2 linked regions of the Saccharomyces cerevisiae S288C genome follow. Changing the gene in region 1 together with any one later gene gives a genetic interaction. Each region holds a gene or a part of one and is shown on either strand. Other genes may lie near its edges. The genes, in order: PRM3 and YLR464W.

The links.
Region 2: mutations in PRM3 (region 1) and YLR464W together harm fitness more than expected from each alone (negative genetic interaction), as found in Saccharomyces cerevisiae (one large-scale study listed by BioGRID).

What each region holds. Positions count from the first base shown.
Region 1 is NC_001148.4:177,163-185,025, forward strand, and holds PRM3 (pheromone-regulated protein PRM3), read right to left. Parts: upstream 5,895-7,863; coding exon 5,493-5,894; downstream 1-5,492. Other genes in the region: APL5 (Apl5p), read left to right, coding at 1-1,859; DDC1 (Ddc1p), read left to right, coding at 2,115-3,953; RSA1 (Rsa1p), read left to right, coding at 4,241-5,386; MIY2 (ubiquitinyl hydrolase 1), read right to left, coding at 6,435-7,517. UniProt on the Saccharomyces cerevisiae protein: Required for the fusion of nuclear envelopes during mating, ensuring proper karyogamy. Plays a role in the initiation of outer nuclear envelope fusion.
Region 2 is NC_001144.5:1,061,201-1,070,613, forward strand, and holds YLR464W (uncharacterized protein), read left to right. Parts: upstream 1-5,371; coding exon 5,372-5,884; intron 5,885-5,886; coding exon of another isoform or gene 5,887-6,163; coding exon 6,164-6,301; downstream 6,302-9,413. Other genes in the region: seripauperin PAU4, read left to right, coding at 1,719-2,081; YLR462W (uncharacterized protein), read left to right, coding at 4,756-5,364; YRF1-4 (Y' element ATP-dependent helicase protein 1 copy 4), read left to right, coding at 5,887-9,413.

The sequences.
Region 1 (7,863 bases):
CATGCCTGGAAAGATTGCACACATTTTGTGATTCTCAGGATCCAAATTTGAGATATATTAGCTGCATATTGTTTTACAAGATCGGCAAAATCAATACTGATTTTATTTCTCGGTTCGACCAACTGATTATACGCTTACTCTCCGATGTCGACGTTTCTATAAGATCAAAAGCAATTGAATTGGTTGAAGGTATTGTTGATGAGGATAACTTAAAGGCAATTGTCCAAACATTGATGAAGCAATTTGTAGATGAAGATGTGGTTATCCTACAAACTGGAAGCATCGTATACGAAAAATCAAAGAGAATTCCCATAATAATTCCAGAAAATTACAAGATAAAAATGGTGAACGTCATTATATCGATTTGTTCAGCTGACAACTATTCCAGTGTTAACGACTTTGAATGGTACAATGCAGTAATAATGGACTTGGCGATGCTCTGTCAAGACATATCTGATAAAAGCCTTGGATCAAAAATTGGTGAACAGTTTAGGAATTTGATGATAAAAGTTCCTTCAATGAGAGAAGTAACCATTGCTAATATTATAAAGCTTATTTCAAATGACAATATTAACAAACAGTTGCCTACCGTATTGAGAGAATGCATTTGGTGTCTCGGAGAATTTTCTACCCTAGTTGAAAATGGTAACGACTTAATAAAAATCATGACTGAGAATATCAGTTATTATTCTCATAGTGTACAAGAAGTTTTAATTTTAGCACTTGTTAAAGTATTTAGTAATTGGTGTAATAACTTTCAGGAGGATAAACGCTTTGAAATTAAAATGGTGTTAAAAGAGCTAATTGAATTTTTTGAAAATTTATCTTATTCGAGTACATTCGAAGTCCAGGAAAGAAGCGTAGAAGTTTTAGAATTTTTAAGACTAAGTTTGGAGGCTTTAGAGGAGGATACGGAAGGTCTACCAATGCTACTGAGCGAAGTCCTGCCTAGTTTTTTTAACGCCTATGAACTCGCACCAATTGCGCGTGGGACTCAATTGAAGTTAGCAGTAGATGAGAATCTTGATCTAGAAACTCCATTTTTGACAAAGGAGGCAGCTGATGAACTCTTAGATGAACAAAAAAGTGACGCCATCAGTGATTTAATGTCTGATATCTCAATGGACGAGCAAGTTGAACTAAAATTCGTTGATGATTCTGATACTTCGTATGAAGAAAAGGAAAAATTGGATGATTTTGAAAATCCATTTGAGATTGAGAGAGAAAAGGAACGGATGTCAAATCCTTATTATCTAGGTGAAGAAGACGAAGAAAGAACTAAGAACTCTAAAGATTTGTTGGACTTGAATGAGGAGGAAAGTAGTGATAAAAAGCCAGAAACTATTAGATTAAATAGAACCGATAATTCGTTGAATTCTCTAAGTTTATCTACAACTGAAATCAGCAGAAAGAAGAAGAAGGGAAAGAAGAAAAATAGGGTTCAAGTCTTATCCGATGAACCTGTTATCGAAGCCGCTCCCAAAAGGAAAGATGCATTCCAGAAACCCCATGATAATCATTCAACTCAAAATCCTTTGAAAAAGGACAAGATTAATCTGAGAATGCACTCTCAACTTGAAAATTTTGATTTTTCCAATTTTGGGCAATCGAGTAACGCAGGAAGAGGATCGCAGGAAGAGGGCAACCTTAGAAAGGAAGACGAGTTAGAATTAAGTCGTTTAGAGGCCAATCTTATTGTAAAAGATGAAAAGGATAATTTAAGTGATACTGAAGAAGTTATAGTTATAAAAAAGAAGAAGAAAGGGAAAAAGTCAAAGTCAAAAAACAAACTAAAAACGAAAGCAAAAAATTCTCCAGAACCAAATGAATTTCTTCGAGACCAAAGCACTGACATTTAACGATAAAAAAATCGAAGTCGTGAATTCTCAATGACAGCGATTACGTACGTAAACTATAATTAATTTAAGTATTTTATTCTGCATAGTATATTATTGCGGTGCACTCAATTTGCCGAAAGAGACGGCATATTTAATAATGACGCGAATGAATCAAAGGCCGCCAAAGGTAATCATAGACCAGAGATGATTTGCAAAATTATTTGACATACTATTGCTAGTGTAACAATAACACAGCATAACTTTGCTTAGACATATATGTCATTTAAGGCAACTATCACCGAGTCGGGGAAGCAGAATATCTGGTTTCGTGCGATATATGTGTTATCTACAATTCAGGATGATATCAAGATTACAGTGACAACAAATGAGTTAATTGCTTGGTCAATGAACGAGACAGATACTACTCTTTGTCAGGTTAGGTTTCAGAAAAGCTTTTTTGAGGAGTATGAGTTTAAACCACATGAGATTGTATTTGGAGAAAATGGGGTTCAAGTTATAGAAGATACGTACGGCAATAGTCATAAGTTATACTCCTTCCGTGTTAATGGAAGACACCTAACAACTATATCAAGAAAGCCGGATGGTGATGGCATCAAATCATTCACAATTGCGGTAAACAACACTTCTACCTGTCCTGAATCACTTGCAAATAGATTGATTGTGGTGATTGAAATGGATTCGTTAATAGTCAAAGAATACTGTCCCCAATTCCAGCCAATAAAATACGATCCCATAATAATCAACCTTAAGTACAAAAGGAGGTTTTTGGATGTTTTTGGAACTGCTGCCTCCGATCGGAATCCACAGGAGCCCTTGGACCCTAAGCTATTGGACGTTTTTACAAATACAGAGCGTGAGCTAACATCAGCCTTATTTAACGAAGAAGTGGAATCAGACATACGTAAAAGGAATCAGTTAACGGCTGCTGATGAGATTAATTACATTTGTTGTAATTCAACTTTATTGAAGAATTTTTTAGACAACTGCAATGTTAATGTAACCGATGAAGTAAAATTGGAAATTAACGTACATAGGCTAAGCATAACTGCATTCACCAAGGCCGTCTACGGCAAAAATAACGACCTTTTAAGAAATGCGTTAAGCATGAGTAACACTATCAGTACGCTCGATCTTGAGCATTATTGCTTATTTACAACAATCGAAGATGAAAAACAAGATAAGCGATCACATAGTAAGCGTAGAGAGCATATGAAAAGTATAATATTCAAATTGAAGGACTTCAAAAACTTCATAACGATAGGTCCATCCTGGAAGACTACCCAGGACGGAAATGATAATATAAGTTTATGGTTTTGCCACCCAGGGGACCCTATTCTTATGCAAATGCAAAAACCGGGCGTAAAATTAGAATTGGTTGAAGTTACTGACAGTAACATTAACGATGATATTTTAGAAGGAAAATTCATAAAAACAGCAATCTCTGGCTCCAAAGAAGAGGCCGGACTGAAAGACAACAAAGAAAGCTGCGAAAGTCCATTAAAAAGCAAAACTGCTTTAAAGAGAGAAAACCTGCCACACTCTGTGGCTGGAACTCGAAACAGTCCTTTGAAAGTGTCGTATCTGACCCCTGATAATGGAAGCACAGTTGCTAAGACCTATAGAAATAACACGGCAAGAAAATTATTCGTGGAAGAACAAAGCCAAAGTACGAATTACGAACAAGATAAGCGGTTCCGGCAGGCTAGTTCAGTTCATATGAACATGAATCGGGAACAAAGTTTTGACATTGGTACGACTCATGAAGTGGCCTGTCCACGTAATGAGAGCAATTCTTTAAAAAGATCCATAGCAGATATTTGTAATGAAACTGAAGACCCCACCCAACAATCTACATTTGCAAAAAGGGCAGACACCACTGTGACATGGGGAAAAGCGTTACCAGCTGCAGATGATGAGGTTTCATGCAGCAATATCGATAGAAAAGGAATGCTCAAGAAAGAAAAATTGAAGCATATGCAAGGTCTGTTGAATTCCCAGAATGACACAAGTAATCACAAGAAACAGGACAATAAAGAGATGGAAGATGGGCTGGGTCTAACACAAGTAGAAAAGCCAAGGGGTATATTTGACTAAAACCATAATGCAAAATCAGTATAAAGGCGTGTAAATATTAGATGAAGTAGCAATTATCATGATAATATCGATCGCTGTTTTTTTTTTTTTTTCTGTCTCAATTTGGTGAGCGTGCGGCTGATGGTCCATCACGGTCGGGGAACAAACTAAAATTTTCAATAGCATAATATCTCTATATTGCATAGCTTTTTACTTAATAGGAACTTAAAAATTTCATTGATGCTATTATATTTAACTCATAAGTCAATCTCTTTTTCCATTTTGATTAGCTTATTGCGACATGGACTATGAATTATAATAACTTTGAAAATTCGAAGGGTGATGGACATTCTAGGCTTCCCAAACCTACATACTCCGGAACGCTATCAGATGGCTATGATGAATCGAAAATTAAAAGGCAAAAAACAGACTCTGCTTTTAATGCAGCTTACTCACCTCATATGTATCCGAACTCTCCGTATTATGAAGGTTCATGGAATACCGGTTATACTCCTCAACTTCATCATGTAGCCCCTCATAATCAATATTTCCATCCAATACAACCGTCCACTCAGTACAATTATACGAGTCCTCCCAATTATACAGAAAATTACATACCGCCAGTTCATCAGAATATATCTTATGCACCAGCGCTTAATTTACAGAAGTGGCCATCATCATATTGTGAAAACACTCAAGCCTTAAAGAATGATAAAGATTACCAAACATCAATTAGTTATGAAGATGTTGCAATACCGACCGTAAAGGAAATACAATTGATTGAGAAAAACAGAGGGAAAGATACGTTTATGAATGAAATAAGTCCAGTACCATCAAGCAAGGATCAAGCATCTGCGGAGCCTACAGAAATCCCAAGAAAGGATCCCGAGCTGGCAAATTCTAATGCCGAAGATGATCATAATAACTTAGGGCTAGAAGATGATGATCGTGATGAGCAGTTAGAATCAGAGGGGTTGGGTAAGGTGGTTTTGGTTCCTGGAACCTCCATAGCATTGATTACTGATGAAGATGTTAAAAAGTGGAGAGAAGAAAGAAAAAAAATGTGGCTACTGAAAATATCCAATAACAAACAGAAACATATGCAAGAAATGGGCATAAAGGAAGATGAACTGAAGAGCCAACCTAGCATTTTCAAAGAGTCAAGGAAAGAAAAGCAATTTATACAGAGTATTCAAAATCAAGTGCAGAGAGGAAATCCGAAGATTGACTTGAACTTGAAATTGATACAGCGAGAATTCGCAAACGAAAACTCCCAACTTTTGGACTTTATAAGAGAATTGGGAGATGTAGGATTACTTGAATATGAGCTATCTCAACAAGAAAAAGATGTACTTTTTGGGAGCTCTGAAGATAATAATAAAAATCATTACAAACCAAATTACAAAAACAGGAAACCTAATCTGAGTAGAGCCAACTTTACTAGAAATAAGTAATAGAATAGCAAATATTGATATACATGGAAGAGTACATGCAAAGGTGCGTAAAAAAAAATAAGTCAGATAAAACTAATTACTGTTTAGAAATCATGAGTATATGAAACTAATTTTGAAGAGCTTTAACTGCTAGGTTACTTAAAACAGTAGTTACAGCAGCACCAAGGAACGAACCGAAAATGGCACCTTGGTAAAATGAACCCTTATTCTCTCTCTGTACTTTACTTTCAGAAGCGTCTTTTTTCTTACTTTTCGTTCGTGATTTTGTGGAAGATGTTGTCGTTTTGTGCTTCCTGACTCTACCAGGCGACACAGCCTTCTTAATGTGTTGTTCATTATTAACTAATGACTTTTTATTAAGCGGTCCACCGTTTTTGGCTTTATTTATAACGAACCCATCAGCAGAGTTTGAACTTGCATCTGTCAGTTTATGCACTCTAAGTTTTTCTTGGTCGTTGTTTTTCTTCAGTGTAATCAATGCAGCGTTGTCTTCTTTCATTGCTGTCATTTTTTGGAGAAGTATTTATATATTTATTAGTTATTTAATGTGTTTATAAATTTATCTTGAGGCTGGTGAAATCTATTCCAAGTATTTTAAATATGTTTGCAAATGCGAGTCTACTACTTTGGTTCCATATGATGTCAGTTTTACAACAATTTATACTAGAGATAGCCAATATACTTGTTTCAGTTCTGTTTTGCCGTAATGGAATTATAGCTCCGACAAATGTAATCTTATGCACTGAAATTCAATCCATTGTGACAAGAATTATGTATTTTAGTTCTTATTTGATTTATTTCGACGCCTCGCGCGCGCTCTTAGAATCCGGCCCGACAAAGGATCTGAAACAAGTATAAATCAAATGGCCAATATAATGTCAAGCCTGTTTTATGTGGCAATGTTTAGACAGAAAATCACGCCTGTAGGGGTCCACATATCTCCAGAATAATTAGAGAGTCGGTGTCCTTATGAGATCTTCCTTAAAGCGAACAGATTGATTAATCATGTTTTACGCGAGGATATACGATAAAAACAAGTGAACAGCTCTTACATAACAACGCACTCACTTTTCTCTTTTTCAGAAGCTTTTGCATTGAGAAGGCTGCTTCTTCGCTTAAACTTGTCTTTTTTGACTGGTGCGTGTATTTCTGAGTTTTTTTTGTGAGAATGGATTTTCCTTTTTGCTTCAAATTTCGTAACACGTTCTTGTTCTTGTTCCTGTAACTGTTTGGCTAGTTCTTTATCGTTTTCAATTTGCTGAATTTCTTCAAGTAGCAAATTTCCAGTTCCAAAATCACGTTCAATGTCAGTTGACAATTGCTGTCCATTTACCTCTGCTGCACTAAAGTTACCGGCAAAAAAAGCATCGCAGGAGCCGTCCACCGAATCTAGGGATTGCCATACAATATCTTTACAATTTTTATAACCAAAGTCCGTAACCAATGTGTATAATCGATCTTCGTATTTGAACAATGTAGAAAAATGGTCATTTCTGAATAAAATGGAGAATTTGTTGTGTAGCAGCTTTTCTCTCAATCGTAGGAGTCCAAAGGCGGTCAACTGAGTCGGTGATTCGTTCAAAAACAGACCCAAATGCATGGCATCACGTAAAACTTCGTCCGAGTTTTCATCTTGGGAAATTCCACAATTTATATCAGCTGCTTGTGTTAAGATTCTCTGCGCAGATTCATAAGAATAATGAGATAGTTTCTCATCAATGTTTTCATTTATGAAACTGTTGATAACCCAGCCATGGACAACATCAACGTTAAACAATCGAAATATTGACATCTCTTTAGTATTTTCAAAAGACCCATTAAACTCAGGGTTAATATTTAAACCTTCATGTAATCTAGGTAACAAACTTAGTAACTCACTTATATCAGTACTAGGTTTATCTGTAACTTGTAAAGCGATATCTGCTAAGACTTCAATAAGTTCTTTTAAAGATATTTGACTTCCCTTATTTACCAACCTTATTAACTCATTGGAAAAACGTGTATGATCTGGTGAAAGTATTAGAATATTTGCAAGTGCTAACAAGGCACAAGGTCCGTTTTCGTTTTGCAGTAATATTCGATGGTTTTGACCATTAATTTTGACACTTTTAGTCGTGAAACTTAAATCCATGAAAAGATATTGCAATAAACAAGAATTGCAGTGATGTGAATCTACTTTGAGCTGTTCTTTAAAGCGCCTTGTAGAATGGGCATTTTGTCCAACGTTTTCAAGACCCTTTTTTCGTACTGCTCGCTGTTAATACTGCGAAACTAAAATAAACGACAGGCAGATGACTAAAACAAATCAAACAAGAACCTCTAGGGAAAGGTGTCCTAAGCGCGGAACTTCTTTTCGTTATGGGGTAAATAGAGCGGTACTTAATAATCTGTTTACAAAGCAATTTTACAAAGTTTTGATATAAGAACATTTAACTAAAGAGAAGAAAAAGAAATGAAAAGCCATTCTCTTGGCAGAG
Region 2 (9,413 bases), on another chromosome or scaffold:
GTCAGCTGAGACAAGAAAGGCACAGCTCTCGGACAGGAACTGCTGTCATATGAAAACCTAAAAATGTTTCCTGGAAATTCCATGACTGCGCAAAGTTTGATACGTTTATTGTTCTTCTCCACTACCGCACTTTCTATCTCGGAAACCTTTCAACTAAATGAACTATTGTTAATTGTATGGCGTGTGGCCTTTCTATTTCAGAAAATTTAGAGTAAAGTAAACTCCGTCGGACTAGTATAGTAATGAAACAAGCCATTGACTCTGCAGCATATTGCGACCAAAACCTGGAAATTGGTGGCTATGAGTTTTAATTTATAATTATATGAAAACAAAGCTTGGAATGCTGAGTACTTTTTCTTCAATGCTGCTCACTGCCCAGAAGCGTTCAGAACAACTCTACTGGAGCCATTCTGCTTGAAGGAGGATAAAAATGCCAAGATCAAGTCTTTTAAAGATTCTATCCCTTTTCATCGAAGAAGCACTACAAGTTTATTTTACAGAAGTTGACAAACTGTGGAACTTGATCCATACTGAATAAGTATGGAAAACTGTTAACTTAGAGGATGCTCTGCTTTCTAAAGAAGTTTCACAGCTTTAGACTCACATGGGTTCTCATGAGTATTGCTAGCTAGTGCGAGTTTGATCTATACTTCACAGACTTTTAACACCCCGTTCCTTAAGTTTTCCCTGATTATCAAGGGTATTTCCAATTCTTACTCCCCACTATCGCTCCTTTCTTATCTGAATTGTATTTTTGAGTGGCCTAATTGTAATCTTTTATTTTGTTTTCTAATTATTGAAGGCGGTTTCTCGAAGCATTTCACGATTTCCAAAATTCAAGAATTGAAATTATGAACATAGAAGACAAAATACTTTTTTTATCAACTATTAATACACCTTTCCTAGAGAACATTTTTAAAATAAAATAAAATAAAGTAGCGCTCTCTACTACCCTTACACTTTTCTCCTTCATATCTGGCTAGAAAAGAGGGATTACATCTCGGAATCAAATATTTCCCTCTGTGCAAAGTTTTAATACTGCTACTACGAACTGGTTACAATTTTATTTTTATCATACACGATACTTTGAACATCAACTTCTCTCAATACCATCCGCCTTCAGCGGCTACAATTACGTAATTGCACCAAGGCATTCGCCGAGAGTTCACAAATTGCAGACCCTAACAGTATACGACTCCCAACACACGTTTAATGTTGTACGAATTCAAGAGATAGAAATGCTTCTTCCGCGGAAGCCGTTTAAAGCACTGAAATTAGGCTTAGACAATAGACTTCTGTACGAGGGTCCAAATCTAAAATTCAGATATTCTTTTTGACCGAAAACGGAAATCACAGGCGCGCAAAAGGGTTTTTCAAGGTACCCCGGCATCCCTATAATAGGCATTCCCACATTCTGCGCATACGAATACACATGAGTGCCATAAAACAATACTCCACATACGAAGTCTATGAAAGATGTATGATTCGTTCAGAAACAAGAGCATTTCCATACTGATAATGAGATTGTGTGAAAGATGAGATATGGAGGATATGTGAGGTGCTAAATGAGCGTCTGTTAACGAATCGTTTAAATAGTGATGACTGATGAAGGCATGGGTATAAATAGAGCTGCTTCAACTGTATGCCTTTGAGAATATGTCTTTATTCCTTTCTTTCCTGTTAAGCTTATATCAGCACTAACAAACAAAACAAATACAATGGTCAAATTAACTTCAATCGCCGCTGGTGTCGCTGCCATCGCTGCTACTGCTTCCGCAACCACCACTATAGCTCAATCTGACGAAAGAGTCAACTTGGTTGAATTGGGTGTCTACGTCTCTGATATCAGAGCTCACTTGGCCCAATACTACATGTTCCAAGCCGCCCACCCAACTGAAACCTACCCAGTTGAAGTTGCTGAAGCCGTTTTCAACTACGGTGACTTCACCACCATGTTGACTGGTATTGCCCCAGACCAAGTGACCAGAATGATCACCGGTGTTCCATGGTACTCCAGCAGATTAAAGCCAGCTATCTCCAAGGCTCTATCCAAAGATGGTATCTACACTATCGCAAACTAGGGACGAGTGCCTCTACGAATGAAAATTCATAGACAGTAAAAAGTAATGAAAAATAAAATAAAAACTACTTTTTTTTGATGATATAAATACCGTAGATTATATAAATGTATATTAATATTATAAACCTATTTGATCAATGACAGTGTTCGTGAAGCATTTTATGAATACGATAAACATAAAAAGAAACTTTTACACTATTCTAGAAAAAGGGTGGATGGTAATAAAGCTAATAGAGTATGTCCAATAAACAATAATGAAATTGGAAGCGCATGACTTCTCAGCACTTTGTCTTTCCATAAAAATGAGTCGCTGCTTCTTTTTTCATTTTTTGGCGCGTCGCGTCGGGCCGTATAGAATATGCGTCACTTCTAAGAACAAGATTGCAGATCAGGGCAGTGCGAGTTACGGAGTCATGGTATCAAACTCTCATTTAGAGACCCTCATTTTTTGACACTGAAAATATCAAAATTTCTGGGTTGCGATAGTTTTTGTGTAACCGTAACCAGAAATAAAGCTGAAGGGTTAGTGTTCTATCAACAATAAGATAGAGGGTGGTAAGATGAAGTGAGACAATATCGTAACGTCCGTTTCAGTATACGCCGCTGATAAGTTATATTACCGTAAAATTATTTGACATTTCGTTATAGATCCTATTAAATAACGTACCTATCACAGTATCGTCTTGTTCAGATATAGTCTCTTCGTATGAGTAGTGTCACATACAAGATTAAAGATGCATCAGTTATGCTTTTAGGATATTGCGGATAGCATATGGGAATGGAAATAGGATACAATTTTATCATAGCACCCGCATGAGTGTCAACACAGTACCATATTATAGCACAGTGAATGGAGAGTGTTACGACAGTGAGGTAGCATATTATTCTAATGTATGGTCTGCATAAGTACGAAATATTCTGAAATGGCATCCGTTCAAGCAAACTGCAATATTAAGGAACTTTTACGTTAATGACGTCATGGTAGTGTTCATACTCCAAGTCAATATGTTTTTGTATTATTGTTGAAGAATAGAATATTTTTATGTTTAGGTGATTTTAGTGGTGATTTTTCTGTAATATTGGCATAAGTGTATTTAAATTGAGTGGTTAGTATATGGTGCAAAAGTAATATAACGTATGTATTAAGAGCATTTTTACAATATTCGAGGCCACTGAATGAGATATAGATATTAAAATGTGGATAATCATGGGATTTATGGGTAAATGGCACAGAGTATAGACCGCTGAGGCAAGTGCCGTGCATAATGATGTGAGTGCATTTGGCACTGATTTAGTGAGAGATGGGCCATGGAGTGGAGTGGAATATGAGAGTAGGGTAAGTTGAGATGGTATATACTGTAGTATCCGTGTGCGTATGACATATCAGTATACAAGTGAAGGTGAGTGTGGCAAGTGGTGGTGATGGTATAGAGTGATAGGGTAAGTATATGTGTATTGTTTACGATCATTTGTTAACGTTTCAATATGGTGGGTAGAACAACAGTATGGTGAGTAGTAGATGGGAGATGGTAGAGGAATGGCAGGGTAAGTGGTGGCGGAGTTGGATATGGGTAATTGGAGGGTAACGGTTATGGTGGACGGTGGGTTGGTGGTAGGAAGTAGAGAGGTGGATGGTAGTTGGGAGTGGTATAGTTGAATGAGACAGGGTAACGAGTGGGGAGTAGGGTAATGGAGGGTAAGTTGAGAGACAGGTTGATCAGGGTTAGAGTAGGGTAGTGTTAGGGTTAGGTGTGTGTGTGTGTGTGGGTGTGGTGTGTGGGTGTGTGGGTGTGGTGTGGTGTGTGTGTGTGTGGTGTGTGGGTGTGGTGGGTGTGGTGTGGGTGTGGGTGTGGGTGTGGGTGTGGGTGTGGTGTGTATATCTATGTCACCTTATTGCATGCTGGATGGTGTTAGACAAGGCCGTAGGGACATATAGCATCTAGGAAGTAACCTTGTACGAAAATAGGCAATATTTCCTGTTTGACGCAGATTTTAGCCCAAAGATCTAGCGTCAAGGAATTTTTTTATAGTGGGACATTGCAAACCAAGGAAGTAACTTGATACGTCGTTGGTGAATGGGTCTGTTTTCTTATTCGGCGGGGTAATACATTTTTGGGGGAAGTTTGTCTGTCTGACGCGCCATATGTAGGTACGCCAAAAAGGGCTCCTCTACTTCGAAGCGCGAGGTCGTATACCTAATAAGGAAATGTAATTTATAACTTTTTATTATATTGGTCTTTTCGAGAGCGGAACGTAGGTCCATGTTTAAAGTATCCAAGAGAATATCCACGAAGCGGCTGAGCAACGAACAGAATCCTGGTTCTCCTCGACTAAGCAGATAGTTAAGATACTGTGCACCATGGAAATTGAAAACGAAAGTACGTACCGACTACTTTATTTTTGCAGGCCGGAAATCAAGCGATGAATGAGACATCCTTCTGTTTTCTATGTTGTGCTTGAAGGGGACAGACAGTCGCTTATCTTAGTGAGATTTTGTTTGCTTTTGCTGCACCTGCATAGCGCAGATTCTGCATCTTCTCAATAGCTTAATTATTACATTCTTAGATGATGATAAGACGAAAACTGGACAATCTTTTGTTTATATTGATGGATTTCTTGTCAAAAAGCATAAAAATCAACATACTATTGTTAATTTCGAAACTTACAAAAATAAAATGAAAGTTTCCGATAGGCGTAAGTTTGAAAAAGCAAACTTTGACGAGTTTGAGTCGGCTCTAAATAACAAAAACGACTTGGTACATTGTCCCTCAATAACTTTATTTGAATCGATCCCCACGGAAGTGCGGTCATTCTACGAAGACGAAAAGTCTGGCCTAATCAAAGTGGTAAAATTCAGAACTGGTGCAATGGATAGGAAAAGGTCTTTTGAAAAAGTTGTCATTTCCGTCATGGTCGGGAAAAATGTAAAAAAGTTCCTGACGTTTGTTGAAGACGAACCAGATTTCCAGGGCGGACCAATCCCTTCAAAGTATCTTGTTCCCAAGAAAATCAACTTGATGGTCTACACGTTGTTTCAAGTGCATACTTTGAAATTCAATAGAAAGGATTACGATACCCTTTCTCTTTTTTACCTCAACAGAGGATACTATAATGAGTTGAGTTTCCGTGTCCTGGAACGTTGTCACGAAATAGCGAGTGCTAGGCCGAACGACAGCTCTACGATGCGTACTTTCACTGACTTTGTTTCCGGCGCACCTATTGTAAGGAGTCTTCAGAAAAGCACCATAAGGAAATATGGGTACAATTTGGCAGCCTACACGTAGATGAGCTATGCAAGCAAGTTTACCTGGCGAAAAGAAAGTCGACACAGAGCGGCTGAAGCGTGATCTATGCCCACGTAAACCCATTGAGATAAAGTACTTTTCACAGATATGTAACGATATGATGAACAAAAAGGACCGATTGGGTGATATTTTGCATATTATCTTGCGAGCATGTGCACTCAATTTCGGGGCGGGTCCCCGTGGTGGCGCTGGTGACGAAGAGGATCGATCTATTACGAATGAAGAACCCATTATTCCCTCTGTGGACGAGCATGGCCTGAAAGTATGTAAGTTGCGCAGTCCTAACACTCCACGAAGACTCAGAAAAACACTAGATGCCGTGAAAGCTTTATTGGTGTCGTCTTGTGCTTGTACCGCAAGGGATTTAGATATATTTGATGACAACAACGGCGTTGCAATGTGGAAATGGATCAAAATTCTGTACCACGAAGTAGCGCAGGAAACCACGCTGAAGGACTCTTATAGAATAACTTTGGTACCTTCTTCTGATGGTATATCAGTATGTGGAAAACTTTGGGGAGAGTTGAACAACTGCTTCCATATGCCAGCCTCATTTTGCGTAATCGAGAAGTTTTGTTCAGAGAACCGAAGCGAGGAATTGACGAGTATCTGGAAAACGATTCTTTTTTTCAAATGATACCTGTTAAATATCGTGAAATTGTGCTGCCCAAGTTGAGAAGAGATACTAACAAAATGACCGCGGCTCTTAAAAATAAAGTCGCTGTTGCAATTGACGAGCTTACGGTGCCACTTATGTGGATGATCCATTTTGCCGTAGGATACCCTTACCGTTATCCAGAGCTTCAGCTACTCGCTTTTGCCGGTCCTCAGCGCAACGTATACGTCGATGATACAACAAGACGCATCCAACTGTACACTGATTACAACAAGAACGGTTCATCGGAGCCTCGACTAAAGACGCTTGACGGACTCACTTCAGATTACGTGTTTTATTTTGTCACTGTGCTAAGGCAAATGCAAATATGTGCGCTTGGTAACAGTTATGACGCTTTTAATCATGATCCTTGGATGGATGTGGTGGGATTTGAGGATCCAGATCAAGTAACAAATCGAGACATTTCGAGGATAGTTTTGTATTCCTACATGTTTCTGAATACCGCGAAGGGCTGTCTGGTTGAATACGCAACTTTTCGGCAGTACATGAGGGAACTTCCGAAGAATGCACCTCAGAAGCTGAATTTTCGGGAGATGCGTCAGGGGTTGATTGCCCTAGGACGGCACTGCGTAGGTAGCAGATTTGAAACAGATTTGTACGAGTCGGCGACGAGTGAACTCATGGCCAATCATTCCGTTCAAACAGGGCGAAATATTTACGGTGTGGATTCCTTTTCGTTAACTAGTGTCAGTGGGACGACCGCCACTTTATTGCAGGAACGAGCTTCCGAGCGCTGGATTCAATGGTTAGGCCTTGAAAGCGACTACCATTGTTCATTCTCTAGTACTCGGAATGCGGAAGACGTAGTGGCAGGTGAGGCGGCGAGTTCAGATCATCATCAAAAAATTTCAAGAGTAACGCGAAAAAGGCCCCGAGAGCCCAAGAGTACAAACGATATCCTCGTCGCAGGCCGGAAACTCTTTGGCAGCTCCTTTGAATTCAGGGACTTGCATCAGTTGCGCTTATGTCATGAAATATACATGGCAGACACACCCTCTGTGGCAGTACAGGCCCCACCGGGCTATGGTAAGACGGAGTTATTTCATCTCCCCTTGATAGCACTGGCGTCTAAGGGCGACGTGAAATATGTGTCGTTTCTGTTTGTACCGTACACAGTGTTGCTTGCTAATTGCATGATCAGGTTGAGCCGATGCGGTTGCTTGAATGTGGCCCCTGTAAGAAACTTTATTGAAGAAGGTTGCGATGGCGTTACTGATTTATACGTGGGGATCTACGATGATCTTGCTAGCACTAATTTCACAGACAGGATAGCTGCGTGGGAGAATATTGTTGAGTGCACCTTTAGGACCAACAACGTAAAATTGGGTTACCTCATTGTAGATGAGTTTCACAACTTTGAAACGGAGGTCTACCGGCAGTCGCAATTTGGGGGCATAACTAACCTTGATTTTGACGCTTTTGAGAAAGCAATCTTTTTGAGCGGCACAGCACCTGAGGCTGTAGCTGATGCTGCGTTGCAGCGTATTGGGCTTACGGGACTGGCCAAGAAGTCGATGGACATCAACGAGCTCAAACGGTCGGAAGATCTCAGCAGAGGTCTATCCAGCTATCCAACACGGATGTTTAATCTAATCAAGGAGAAATCCGAGGTGCCTTTAGGGCATGTTCATAAAATTTGGAAGAAAGTGGAATCACAGCCCGAAGAAGCACTGAAGCTTCTTTTAGCCCTCTTTGAAATTGAACCAGAGTCGAAGGCCATTGTAGTTGCAAGCACAACCAACGAAGTGGAAGAATTGGCCTGCTCTTGGAGAAAGTATTTTAGGGTGGTATGGATACACGGGAAGCTGGGTGCTGCAGAAAAGGTGTCTCGCACAAAGGAGTTTGTCACTGACGGTAGCATGCGAGTTCTCATCGGAACGAAATTAGTGACTGAAGGAATTGACATTAAGCAATTGATGATGGTGATCATGCTTGATAATAGACTTAATATTATTGAGCTCATTCAAGGCGTAGGGAGACTAAGAGATGGGGGCCTCTGTTATCTATTATCTAGAAAAAACAGTTGGGCGGCAAGGAATCGTAAGGGTGAATTACCACCGATTAAGGAAGGCTGTATAACCGAACAGGTACGCGAGTTCTATGGACTTGAATCAAAGAAAGGAAAAAAGGGCCAGCATGTTGGATGCTGTGGCTCCAGGACAGACCTGTCTGCTGACACAGTGGAACTGATAGAAAGAATGGACAGATTGGCTGAAAAACAGGCGACAGCTTCCATGTCGATCATTGCGTTACCGTCTAGCTTCCAGGAGAGCAATAGCAGTGACAGGTGCAGAAAGTATTGCAGCAGTGATGAGGACAGCGACACGTGCATTCATGGTAGTGCTAATGCCAGTACCAATGCGACTACCAACTCCAGCACTAATGCTACTACCACTGCCAGCACCAACGTCAGGACTAGTGCTACTACCACTGCCAGCATCAACGTCAGGACTAGTGCGATTACCACTGAAAGTACCAACTCCAGCACTAATGCTACTACCACTGCCAGCACCAACGTCAGGACTAGTGCTACTACCACTGCCAGCATCAACGTCAGGACTAGTGCGACTACCACTGAAAGTACCAACTCCAACACTAGTGCTACTACCACCGAAAGTACCGACTCCAACACTAGTGCTACTACCACCGAAAGTACCGACTCCAACACTAGTGCTACTACCACTGCTAGCACCAACTCCAGCACTAATGCCACTACCACTGCTAGCACCAACTCCAGCACTAATGCCACTACCACTGAAAGTACCAACGCTAGTGCCAAGGAGGACGCCAATAAAGATGGCAATGCTGAGGATAATAGATTCCATCCAGTCACCGACATTAACAAAGAGTCGTATAAGCGGAAAGGGAGTCAAATGGTTTTGCTAGAGAGAAAGAAACTGAAAGCACAATTTCCCAATACTTCCGAGAATATGAATGTCTTACAGTTTCTTGGATTTCGGTCTGACGAAATTAAACATCTTTTCCTCTATGGTATTGACGTATACTTCTGCCCAGAGGGAGTATTCACACAATACGGATTATGCAAGGGCTGTCAAAAGATGTTCGAGCTCTGTGTCTGTTGGGCTGGCCAGAAAGTATCGTATCGGAGGATGGCTTGGGAAGCACTAGCTGTGGAGAGAATGCTGCGAAATGACGAGGAATACAAAGAATACTTGGAAGACATCGAGCCATATCATGGGGACCCTGTAGGATATTTGAAATATTTTAGCGTAAAAAGGGGAGAGATCTACTCTCAGATACAGAGAAATTATGCTTGGTACCTGGCCATTACTAGAAGAAGAGAAACAATTAGTGTATTGGATTCGACAAGAGGCAAGCAAGGGAGCCAAGT